Macaca fascicularis: one gene and its partner. The protein of the gene in region 1 interacts with the protein of each later gene in a pairwise test. Links are inferred from orthologs where the notes say so. Each region holds a gene or a part of one and is shown on either strand. Other genes may lie near its edges.

Region 1 (6,022 bases):
TGACCATGGCATGATCTGAACCCATGCTTGTTATTCCTTGAAGCCTGTAGTTTTTCCTTCCAGCCAGCCTCCTGCTTTTTCCCTATAGCTGAAATTCCACTCTTGTACACTGCCACTGGGAACTCAGCCAGCTATTTTGTTTCAAAGACCAAATGGAAAAATGGCACGTTTCCTTGGCCAAGGCAGCAATCCAAACTGCCACGTGACTCAGCTGTGGCTGAAGCTGGGCCAGGCCATGTGGTACTGATGCTGCCACTCCTAAGGAAGGCACCAAGTGGGTGAGCAGCCCCTCCAGCAAAGATGCAGGAGCCCCTGGCCTAGAGCTCCCCCTGCCCACAGCCCCATCTTCCCTCTGCCCCTCTGGGTGTTTTCTTTTGTCTTTTTTTAAGAGACAAGGTCTTACTCTGTCATGCAGGCTGGAGTGCTGTGCTGCAATATTGCAATATAGCTCACGGCTACAGCCCAAGACTCAAGTGATCTTCTTGCCTCAGTCTCCCGAGTAGCTGGAACCACAATCTCATACCACCATGCCCCATGCCTGGTAAATTTTTTAATGTTTTTGCAGAGACAGTTATTGCTGTGTTGCCCAGGCTGGTCTCTAATTCCTGGGCTCAAGCGATTCTTCCACTTTGGCCTCCCAAAACACTGGGATTACAGGCGTGAGCCGCTGTGCCCAGCCCTGCTCTAGGTTTTCATGTGGATTTGCTGCCTAGTGGAAGGTACAGGATGGGGCAGCACCTTCTGTTAGTGAGGGAGGCTCCAGGCAGATGTCATTGCTGAATTGGAGCTCCCCTGGAAGTAATGTGGCCCAGCCCTTCCTGGGCAGCCCCTTCTGCCACAAGGAGCCTTAGGAAAAAAGTAAAATAACTCTTTCAGAGAAGCATTTGGTTTTGAAAGTGTCTGAGCCATGCGTGGCTTAGATTTAGGGGATTAGATTGGGCAGGCAGTTTTCAACGTAAACTACATATGATTTAGGGTAGAGGAGAGACAAGGCTGGGCAAAAAGAATTCACTAACCAGCCTGGGGCACAGGAGGACGATGGTTTCTGTGTGCTGCTCTAGTGGCCCTTGACTGGACCCACCTGGAGCTGAACTGCCCTCCCCGTGAAGGGCCTGACAGGGCCAGCTCATCTTTGTGCACACTCAGACACGCACACCATACCAGTCTCCTGCTTGGCTCTAGGCTGAGCCTGGGCCACAAGTGACAGAGCAGGGAGTTCAGGGCAAAGGGAAGAGGAGCCGATCTCCAAGCTTTGTAACAGAGAAACAGGAACAAGCAGGGATCCAGTTGAGGGATGGGGAATGGGGGCCCAGCAGCACCAGCTGACCCCTCTCCTGCCCACAGCACAGTGAGTGTGCAGGACATCCAGGCGCACCTGGCTCAGGGCCATGTGGCCATCGTGCTGGTGAACTCTGGGGTGCTGCACTGTGACCTGTGTTCCAGCCCTGTCAAGTACTGCTGCTTCGCCCCCAGTGGCCACCGCTGCTTCTGCCGCACTCCTGACTACCAGGGCCACTTCATCGTCCTGCGCGGCTACAACCGGGCCACTGGCTGCATCTTTTACAACAACCCAGCCTATGCTGACCGTGAGTGCTGGGTGGGGCGGGTGAGGCAGAGTGGGCCACATTCACTGTTCTGTATGGCCAGTGCCCATGATTCCCACCCATGCAATCTAGTGTGGCCAGGGCCTCCCTTACCACCTTTTCCCCAAAGCCCCTGCTCCTCCTTTACTCTTGTCACTGGAGCCACCCCTCAGGCCATGCAGGCAAACCTGCAGCAAACTATGCCAGCCTTCTCTACAACCTGGCCACCTCTCCCTCCCACACCACAGGCCCCACGCCACTGCCCAGGTCCCTGCCTCACCCTTTCATGCTGCACAGGCTGCACCCCTCCCCCAGCCCCCAGGATGGCCAGCACATTCCTCAGAAAGAAGCCGGCCAGAGCCAGCCCCTGCTCTAGACCCATCCTGGCCTGCCTGCTGCCCTCCAGGCACAGGGAAGGGCCGCCCTGACTCTCATAGACTGGATTCACAGAGACAGCCCCTAGACGCCCTGATCACATAAACTTACCCCATCTATGTGGCCTGGAGCATGTTTCTTCCCCTCTCTGGGCCTCACTTTCTCTAACTGCTCAACTGGGGAGGAGTCAGAGAAAGCTCATGAAGACCAGGATGGGCAAGGAGGGCTTCCTGAGGGTGGAGGACTTGAGCTGAGAGGAGTGGCCATGCGGGTGGAGCACAGACCTCACCCAGCTCTCCTGGGCACTGTGTTGGTGGGGTAGGTGCTTTCTCACAACCCACTGACCCCGTTTTGCCCTCTCCACCCCCAGCAGGAATGTGCAGCACCAGCATCAGTAACTTTGAGGAGGCCAGAACCAGCTATGGCACAGATGAGGACATCCTCTTTGTCTACTTGGACAGCTGACAGCAGGAGCCTGGTGTGCCCAGGCCCTTGGACCCCATCCCCACCCCAGCTGGGCCCACTCAGGATGCCCTGGCCCAGGCCTGGGGCTGCTGGGGCTGGAATGTGGAACTGCAGCCTCAGCCCATCTGGCAGAGCCCCAGAAACTCTGGGATACTGTGGCACAGCTGCTTTGTCTGCCAGTGCCGTGTGTTGTCATGTCGCTCACGCCAAGCACCTGCTGGCTGCTGGAAGCATACCCCAAGACCCCAAGCCTGACTCCAGCTGTGCCCACAGGAAGTCCAGTCCCAACAGTGCCCTTGTTGCCTTTGAGCCAGACCCAAGGCAAGGGTCTCCACACAGACCGCAGGGCTGAGTCTGGAGAGAGAAGTCCCTTGACTAATGCCACTTGTCAGGACAGTATGAGAGTGTCTGGAGACAGCATAGTTGACCCCAATCGCCCAGAACTGAGGACCCCTCCAGGCCCCTCTCTTCTGGAAGTGCTGCATATGCCCCCATGCCCCGTGGGTGACGACACCACCGTCTCCTGCCTACCCATGGGCCCAAGTTTCTGTGGCTCGTTACAGGGTGTCTGGCCCCTGCCACCCAGCATAGACACACCTCACAGCTGCCCTGCCGTGCAGTGCCCTGGCCCCTGGAGACGCTTAAGCCACCCACAGCCCTCCAGGTCCTCCAGCTCAGATGGAGGGCTCTCGGGGGTGTGGCCTGGGCCTAAATCCCACTGGTAGGCCTGATGGCTGGCGGCACAGTGCGTGCTCTGGGAATAAACAGCTGCCCTAGACCCAGAGGGATCTCCACACCCAGGAAGCCTCCTGACACCAGCCTAAATCCTGACAGCAGGGTCTGCCCTCTGAGTGTGGGGAGCCCCTAGTCCTTTAAGGTTGGCTGCTAGGGCCTGTGCTCCAAAGCAATGGGCAGGGGCAGCCTGCAGCTACCCACGCAGCCTGGTCTTCACACGAGGTTGCACATGATACTGGGCCTCTTTTATCTTGACGGAAAAGAGGGGTTCCTGCCTAGGATCTTACAACACAGCAAGTAGCATAGAGCTCTTTACTTCCTCTTTTTTTCTTCTTTGGTTGGGGTCAGGGGTTGTTTGAGATTTAAGTTTTCATTTTTGAGGGGTAATCACCTTCAAGTATAACAGTAATCGTAAGAGTGAAGGTACTTTGGAACCACTAACACCTCTGCACAGGGCAGTTAGCCAGCTCAAGTTCTTTTTCAGAGAAAGGGACTTGGCCAGCGGTTTAAGTATCTGCCCCTTCACCTCACAGACGAGGCAGCTGATGAGGCAGCTGGCCCAGTCTGGGGAGGCTGCCCAGGACAATGGTGGAGCTGGGCCTTGAACCCCAGTCTGTACCGAAAAAACTAAGGGAAATTGATCATTTTCAAAGGGGCAACAGTGATACCATCCCTGCACTCCTGGGTCCTGCTCTTACAGTGCCCAAGGCAGGGCATGGGGGCAGCTGGCCCCTCCCCCACCAGGTGACTCTGGGGGCAGAGGTGGGCTCTGTTTAGGAGGGCGGTCAGACCACCTAGCCAAATTGCTCCTCAACCCTAGACAAAGCCTTTGGCCAAGAGGGAGGTGCTGTTAGCTGGGCAGCCCTTCTGGGTTTCAGAGACCGGTGTTGGCTCCAGACTGGTCTCATCTCCATTGCCTTAATGCCAGGTGGCCCAGGAGTGCCCATGCACAGCAGCTGTAGGGTGTGGGCATCTTCAGGAGTGTTCTGGTAAAATTGTGAGGATAGCTGTGTGAAGGAAACCAGTGGAAGGAAATGAAGTTTTCAGGATGGCGGGATGTGATTCAGACACAGTGCACATGCTGTTAGGGCTGTCACTAGGGAGTGGCCTTCATGGAGGGTGGTAACAGCACCTCAGTCCATCCAAGATGTTTAGAAATAGTCTGCGGTCCCAGAGGACGGCTTCTCAGGGCACGCCACAGTTAAAGGTCACCTGCCTGGAAGATGAATGAGAAAGCTGCCCGTTCTGAAGACCCACCTGCCTAGGGAGGGTCACAGAGGCAGGATGTAAGCCACACTGTGTTGCATTCTTGCACAAGTCATGAAAATGGGGCCAGAGAGCGAGCCTGGACATCGGGGACTTCTGCCCACAGCACATGACACCCACAGCTGCCCAGCCTGTCCACGTGCTGGGGACCAGCACAGCACCTGAAGCCATGTGTGACAGTGAGCTTTGTTCATTCTAGCCACAGGGGGATGAAAGGGATCTTTTGCATCGCAGAGATTTTATATATATTTTGTTTGTAATGAGCCATTCTCAATAAACATTATTCTCACTGCAAAATGGTGGTAGCCCCTGGCTGGCCTCTGTGAAGCTGTGTTGATCTGCAGAATTCCTGTCCCTAAGTTCTCAGCATGAGCACATGGGAACCCAGGTCCTTGTCTTGCCATACCCAGTTTAGCTGGGACTGGAATCCTGTTTTCTGTTTTCTAGGGCCATATCCATCCTATTCAGGCCTGGATGCTTGTGGCCGTCCTGGACAGGCAGTACTAGGGGTAGAAGGGCCTCGGGGCTCAGCTCAAGTGAACTGCAACAAATGCAACTACAGGAGACACCACAGAATGAGGGGGATGTTGAAGAGGAGAGACAAAAGTGGGTGGGATGGCCGGGCACGGTGGTTCACACCTGTAATGCCAGCACTTTGGGAGGTGGAGGTGGGCGGATCACGAGGTCAGGAGATCAAGACCATCGTGGCTAACACGGTGAAACCCCGTCTCTACTAAAAATACAAAAAAAAAAAAATTAGCCAGGCGTGGTGGCAGGTGCCTGTAGTCCCAGCTACTCAGGAGGTTAAGGCGGGAGAATGGCATGAACCCAGAAGGCGGAGCTTGCAGTGAGCCGAGATCGCACCACTGCCCTCCAGCCTGGGCGACAGAGCAAGACTGTCTCAAAAAAAAAAAAAAAAAAAAAAAAAAAAAAAAAAAGGGTGGGATGGTGAGTGCTGGGTGGAGCTGGCTGCTCAGAGCATGCAGAGTTGGGGTTGAGGTCTCAGACCAAGAGTGCAGTAGCGCTATCTCGGTTCACTCCAACCTCCACCTCCTGGGTTGAAGCAATTCTCCTGCCTCAGTCTCCTGAGTAGCTGGGATTCCAGGCACACACCACCACGCCCGGCTAATTTTTGTATTCTTAGTAGACATGGGTTTTACCATCATGTTGGCCAGGCTGCTCTCGAACTCCCGGCCTCAAGTGATTTGCCTGCCTCAGCCTCCCAAAGTGCTGGGATTACAGGCGTGAGCCACTGTGCCTCGCCAATGTCATCACTTTTAAAGGAGCACTTCTATTCCTTCCCATCCTCCCTCAAACACATCATCTTGTCTGTCTCCACTGCTGTAGCCCCAGTATCTGACACCTAGTAGATGTTCAATAAATGTGAGTAAATGGATAGTAGGCTGAAATGATACCTGTTTCAGCAGCTTTCCTGTACTTTTCAGAACTAAAGGTGATCATTAAGGGGGAGGCAGAAGGCCAGGCGCGGTGCCTCATGCCTGTAATCCCAGCACTTTGGGAGGCAAAGGCGGGCGTATCACCTGAGGTTGGGAGTTCGCGACCAGCCTGACCAACATGGAGAAACCCCATCTCTACTA
Region 2 (5,810 bases), on another chromosome or scaffold:
GTACCAGGCCCTTCAGTATCTAACCCAATCAATTCATCTAATTTTATCAAAGCATCAGAGGATATTGGTACAAGAAGCAGCCTAAGATCATACAGTCCAACAGCTTATTTTACAGGCAAGGAAACAAAGATCCAGAAGGTTGAGCTGATTGATTCAAGTGTCACATAGGAACATGTTAGCAACTTCACTCTTGGATTTGCATCAGAAACAGTGAGGGGAGGTAAAAGGTGCCTGGATCTGGATTTGAGATCTGCTTCCACCAATTAGTTAACCTTTAAACTTCCATTTTTTAACCCATAAAATGAGATTAATAATTAATGATTTTTGGCCTGGTGCAATGTATTATGCCTGCAATTACAACACTTTGGGAGGCTGAGGTGGGTGGATCACTTGAGGTCAGGAGTTCAAGACCAGCCTGGCCAACATGGTGAAATCTTATCTCTACTGGAAAAAAAAAAGGAAAAAAGTATCTGGGCGTGGTGGTGCACGCCTATAATCCCAGTTACTTGGGTGGCTGAGGTATGAGAATTGCTTGAACCCAAGTGATGGAGGTTGTGGCAAGCCGAGGTTGCCGCAAACCGAGATCACACCACTGCACGCCAGCCTGGGTGACGCAGTGAGACTCTGTCTCAAAAAAACCAAAACAACAACAAAAAATTAATGATTATTCATTTATTGATTACCTGTACCACCAAGCATTCCTGATATATATATTACCTTTATTATATGCTACTATGGCCATATGTTGTAATTATTGCAGGGTTAAGTCAACATCATAACCTAACTATTTTTAACTATACTAAATATATACGGTGTATTTCTGTGTCTTCATTTTCATAAACATTTGTGGAATAACTTGTTATGCAAGCATTGTGTGGAGAAATGTCAGGGCCCACCAAAGTTTAGGCCTCTTTTCTGTCTTTGTTTAGGAGTTTACAGTTAGACAGAAAGTCAGGCAGTCTCACAAAGTTTAAAAAAAAAAAAAAAAGATGTCCAAATAATGACTTGAAATAATTCATTGAACACAGCTTTTTGTTAGTCTTTCCAGAAGATGCCTGCTAGTAAGTTTGGATGCACAAGAGGGCACACTCAGCATGGGAAATGGGTTTATTTTTCATAGTAATGAAATGTGTATTACCTTGAGACTCTCTTGTCTTAAATCTCTCCTGATTTACGTAGGGATTTTTGTTTAAAGTTGCTTGGCCCCCAGACACCCTGGTTTAGGCTATAACCGCGATGCCAGAGGATGGGTGGATTTAGGTCAGGGCTTGTCTGTTCTATGACCCTTCATTCTGTGTCTCCCAACTCTGCTGCTACTAGTAGAGCATTGCAATACGGGAGGGAGGAAGTGAAGATAATGTTTATTAGCTTAGTCTCCCAGCCTCACAACACATATAACTCTGTGACCTTGGAAAAGTTACTCATCCTCCCTAAATCTCAATTTCCTTGATTTTAAAATGTGGGCAACACTCTACATAGCTTTTAGGTTTTTTGTGAGAACATGGGAAAAAATCTCCCTAAGCGAATGCCTTGGTTCATACTAAGTACCACGTAAATGTTAGCACCTACTATGAACTATTATCTTTTATTAGGCATCTCTACTACATTCCAAGTGCTTCGAAGTGCTTTATCCATGTTCCTTCAAATTAATGCCTGTGACAAACTTTGAAGACAGGTGTCATATCCAATTTTTATTCATTAAAAAAATGAATTAATGCACGCAAACCAGCTAGTAGAGTATCTGCCTCATAGTAAGCATACAGTAGGTGCATCTGTTATTATTTCAAATAAGGAAATAGGCACTGAGGATGAGTAACTTTTATAAGGCCACACAGCCAGTATGTGGAGGGGCTAAGATTCATATCCAAGTTTGTTGGTCTCTGAGACCTGAGTTCTTATTTCTACATGTACACATTCTTTTAAGGAATTATGAGTCTCCCAGGGCAGAACATTTTAAGATGGATGTTTCTATCTAAACACTTTAGTAGTGTGATAAAGGAAGATATCCATCACTCAGACCACAACTGAGATGTTTTTTTTTCCCCCATGGCTCTCATGTAAGAAAGGAGAAAGCAGCTTAGGTATTGATTTTGCGGGTGGCATGCAGGGAAACGAAGAGTGTTGGCTGTAGTATACATATTGGGGCTAAGGGAGATGCTAAGCCTCTCCTCCATTATTCTTCACAGAAATTTCTCCTTCCTTGAAACTTTGGCAGTGTTTTTGTCTATACCTGTTTGGCATTGTTTATATAGACTATTTTGTTTTGTGAATTGTCATAGTTTTTAGCTCCTGCTTTGTTATTTAGGGTAAAGAAAACATCTCATTCTTCTTGGTTTCCCAATTTTTACTGCAGTGCTTGACATATGGGTGCTTTTCCTTTACATCTGTTGATGATGGTAATGAGCTGCTAGATAGTTTGAAAAATCCTTCTAGGCCTCTATGCCAGGAGTTATATTGTAGAATTCTGAATGCATAGTGGTTGCTACTAGTGATTCTTGGTGGTCTTTCTCCGATGTGCCTCAGAAGGTCCAGCTCTGAATTGATCCAGAGGAAACTGATTATGACAGGCTTTTGGTCCAAGAGATCTCTTGTAAGTAACAGTCCAGTAGGTTGGTCACAGAGTACACGATTTCTGGCCAAAGCCTCATGTAGGCAGGTATTGAAATCTACACCCTGGGGAGGCTATGCCTTACCCTACTGCACGGGGGTACTTGACATACACTTTCAGTGTTTGGATTGAGCATATCTTGCCGAAGGTATAAAGAAGATTAAAAAAAATCTTGCTTTTCACTTAAAATCATAGCTCGAAGAAATAAGTTTCATAATTTTCTCTTTTTTTGCCTGTGAATTATAGGGGTATGCAAAATTTGATATTTGGAGCAGAAAAATTTTGAGGGTAATTGCAGTTTATGAGACAGAAACATGCCTCCACTGACACCATATAGTGATAAAAAATTTGCTCATGTCTTCTTTCAGGGCAATCATGACTCATGCATCAGTTCCTAAGAATGACAGAGATGTCCTTGGAATTAGTGACACACTGATTCGACTCTCTGTGGGCTTAGAGGATGAGAAAGACCTACTGGAAGATCTAGATCAAGCTTTGAAGGCAGCAGTAAGTCTTATTATTGTGTGTGTGTGTGTGTGTGTGTGTGGGTGTATGTGTATGTGTGTCTGCTTTATCCTGAGCATGGGGGTCACTATATTTACAAAGAGTGGTCTCATGTGAACTCTAAAGCTTTTCTGTCCCTATAATAGACCAGGGGTATAAATAAAGGTACAGGGAGCTCAGTCAAAGTGCTTAAAGGATGGTAGTATTCAGTAAAAGGACTTCTTGAGGAGTTGAAGCTATGGCCTATATGTTTAATAACATATTTTCTTGTACACTGTTATTATAGCACCCTCCAAGTGGAAGTCACAACTAGTATTCCAGAGCTGCTATTAGAAGCTGCTTCCTGTGAAGATCAAATCTTCCTGAGTAATTAAATGGACCAACAATGAGCCTTTGCAAATTTTTCAAGTGGAAATTTTAAGGCACCTCATTATCTTTCATAACTGTAATCTTCTTAGGGATCATCTCTGTTAAAAAGTTTTCTGTATGTCATATTATAATTACAGGTCAATTCTGTTAATATCTTTTTGTTAATTTTGCTCTATGTTTGCCTCTGAAGGAGGTGAGATTTTTGCTGCTTTGGGGGATCATGTTCTTTTTTCATGTCTAAGATTTATTTTGATCATGTTTACAATATAATGGTCATTCATTTTTTATGTTTTGTGAAGAACTTAAATTTAAGCGAATGTTCTTAAATCAAGTGTGATTTTTTTTGCATATCATTGAAAAGAACATTAAAAGCAATGGTTTACACTTAGTTACCATAAGCCAAAAATCAAATACTTGAAAAGTTTACTGTGAAATTCTACTGATTTAAGATTGTACTTAATATTAAAAAAAATAAATCTAATTATCAAATGCATCCCATTGTGGTATTCCTACATTATGTGACATTAACCTATATTCCTGGGTCCTTTTAATTCCCAACTACTGCTCTTAGAGGTCTTAGCCTTTTGTGTTAATTTTTATAAATGTAATTAAATAACTATTATTCCCAAATCTTAGTGTTTGCAGATTAGTTATAAATCCTATATATGGCAGGTTAAAGGCCACCTTTTTACAGAGAAATAATACTTTTTATATTTTTATCTGAAATAGTACAGTTGTTGAGAATAAAGGAAGATACGTTTAAAAATAGAATCTTTTGGGCCTGGTGGTACATGCTTGTAGTCCTAGCTACTTGGGCAGCTGAGGTGGAGGATCTCCTTGAGCCTAGGAGTTCCAGACTGCAGTGAGCTATGAATGCGCCACTGCACTCCAGCCTGGGCAACAGAAGGAGACCCTGTCTCTAAAAAAAATAATGAAATAGACAATTTTATAGTTGAGTGTATAGTTAGCAAGTTGTCAGTGAGCCATAAGTCAAAAATTAAATCTTAAAAATTGTTTTTATACTAAAGGTTTCTCATCTTATAATAAATCTTGATATTGCCATTTGTTTTGGTTAAAATAATATCATACAGCCTGATGAATAACAGTGATGTGTAGGAGGAGAATACATAAAAATACACATTCTTCTGTATTGTCCACACTCTTGAATTATGCCTATTGAGTCTGGAAATTCTGTCTCTAGAGGCAGTAGCATTTTGAGGCAGGTCCTGTCTCACTGTGGTTTCTGCCAGAACTGATTTCTTGCCATCTCAAGGCCTTAGGGCTGTGGAAATTAATGAAGATCAACCAAATGAGAAAAGGAAAGGCTATTCTTAGCTTACTATAGCAAGGGAGTTAGCCACCATCACCTGGGTTTTGGCAGAAAGTCAAAGGCAGGCAGATGGGTGGAAAAGTTTTATAGTGGAGGAAAGGGAAGCCTTCAGGTATGTCCTAGGTGAAGACTGTTGGCATGGGGAAACTGGAAGCAGGTTGACTGGAGTCAAGTGTTTCACAGTGGGCAGGTCTGTGTAACTCTACACCAAAGTCTAAGGAAGTTGAGAGGCCAAAGAGGCATCCGGTTTCTTAGAAAGAAACATTTAATAGGGACTTAGGAACAGAAGCCATGACTGTATCTTGGGCAGTGATGGGGCAAGTTGGTGAATCCCAGCATAATTACCCACCAGACCCAGGACTTACATGCCATAGGGAGAGGAGTGGTTGAGAAGGAATTTGTAAGACAACTGAAGTATGCTAACATCAAGGCTGTTTGACCTAAGGACAGGATTTACTGTATGTATGAGTTTATCAAGGGTGACTTACTCTAAGGACAGGATTTACAATAAGTACCTGCTCTTAAACAAGGTACAATAGATAAACTGGAATGAGGGTTAATCGGAAGCCAACACGGCAGATTAGCATCCAAGATGGAGTTGCTTTGGCCTCTAGATGGGGCATCCTGTGTGATTTGCTAAGGGTGCATATTTGGCTTTCTCTGAAATTCCTAAGTTGGAAGCAGGGGCAAAATTAGAGAAACTGTCAGTCATTCATTTCCCGGCCATTCTGGGCCAATTGTTATACAAGTTATTGTTTAGCTTCCTGGATTGTCACTAAAGAAAGCAATCTGGCTTCCTGCAACTCTGACTTGCAGCAGGCTGATCTCATGGGTTGTTTATTGTTGATGGGGGTGTTGGTTTCTTGGGCAGCTTGCTGCAGGTTGTGGGTCGAATTTCTAATTTTACATATAGCATGGCCACTGTCCATTCCTATATTCAGTCTCTTAGGACTTCTGGTGAGCAGTAAGTAACTACCATCATGTTAGTCAAGGTTCTCC

Evidence for each region. The genes of interacting proteins can lie anywhere in the genome.
Region 2: the proteins of GUCD1 (region 1) and CTH interact in binary tests that used the Homo sapiens proteins (3 or more experiments, as listed by UniProt). The two-hybrid records come from large-scale screens. The link is inferred for Macaca fascicularis from reciprocal best matches to the Homo sapiens genes GUCD1 and CTH.

The regions. Positions count from the first base shown.
Region 1 is NC_088384.1:28,891,455-28,897,476, forward strand, and holds the end of GUCD1 (protein GUCD1), read left to right. Parts: intron 1-1,344; coding exon 1,345-1,586; intron 1,587-2,328; coding exon 2,329-2,423; 3' UTR 2,424-4,721; downstream 4,722-6,022.
Region 2 is NC_088375.1:164,243,580-164,249,389, reverse strand, and holds the end of CTH (cystathionine gamma-lyase), read left to right. Parts: intron 1-2,976; coding exon 2,977-3,115; intron 3,116-3,398; coding exon 3,399-3,425; 3' UTR 3,426-3,974; downstream 3,975-5,810. UniProt on the Homo sapiens protein: Catalyzes the last step in the trans-sulfuration pathway from L-methionine to L-cysteine in a pyridoxal-5'-phosphate (PLP)-dependent manner, which consists on cleaving the L,L-cystathionine molecule into L-cysteine, ammonia and 2-oxobutanoate.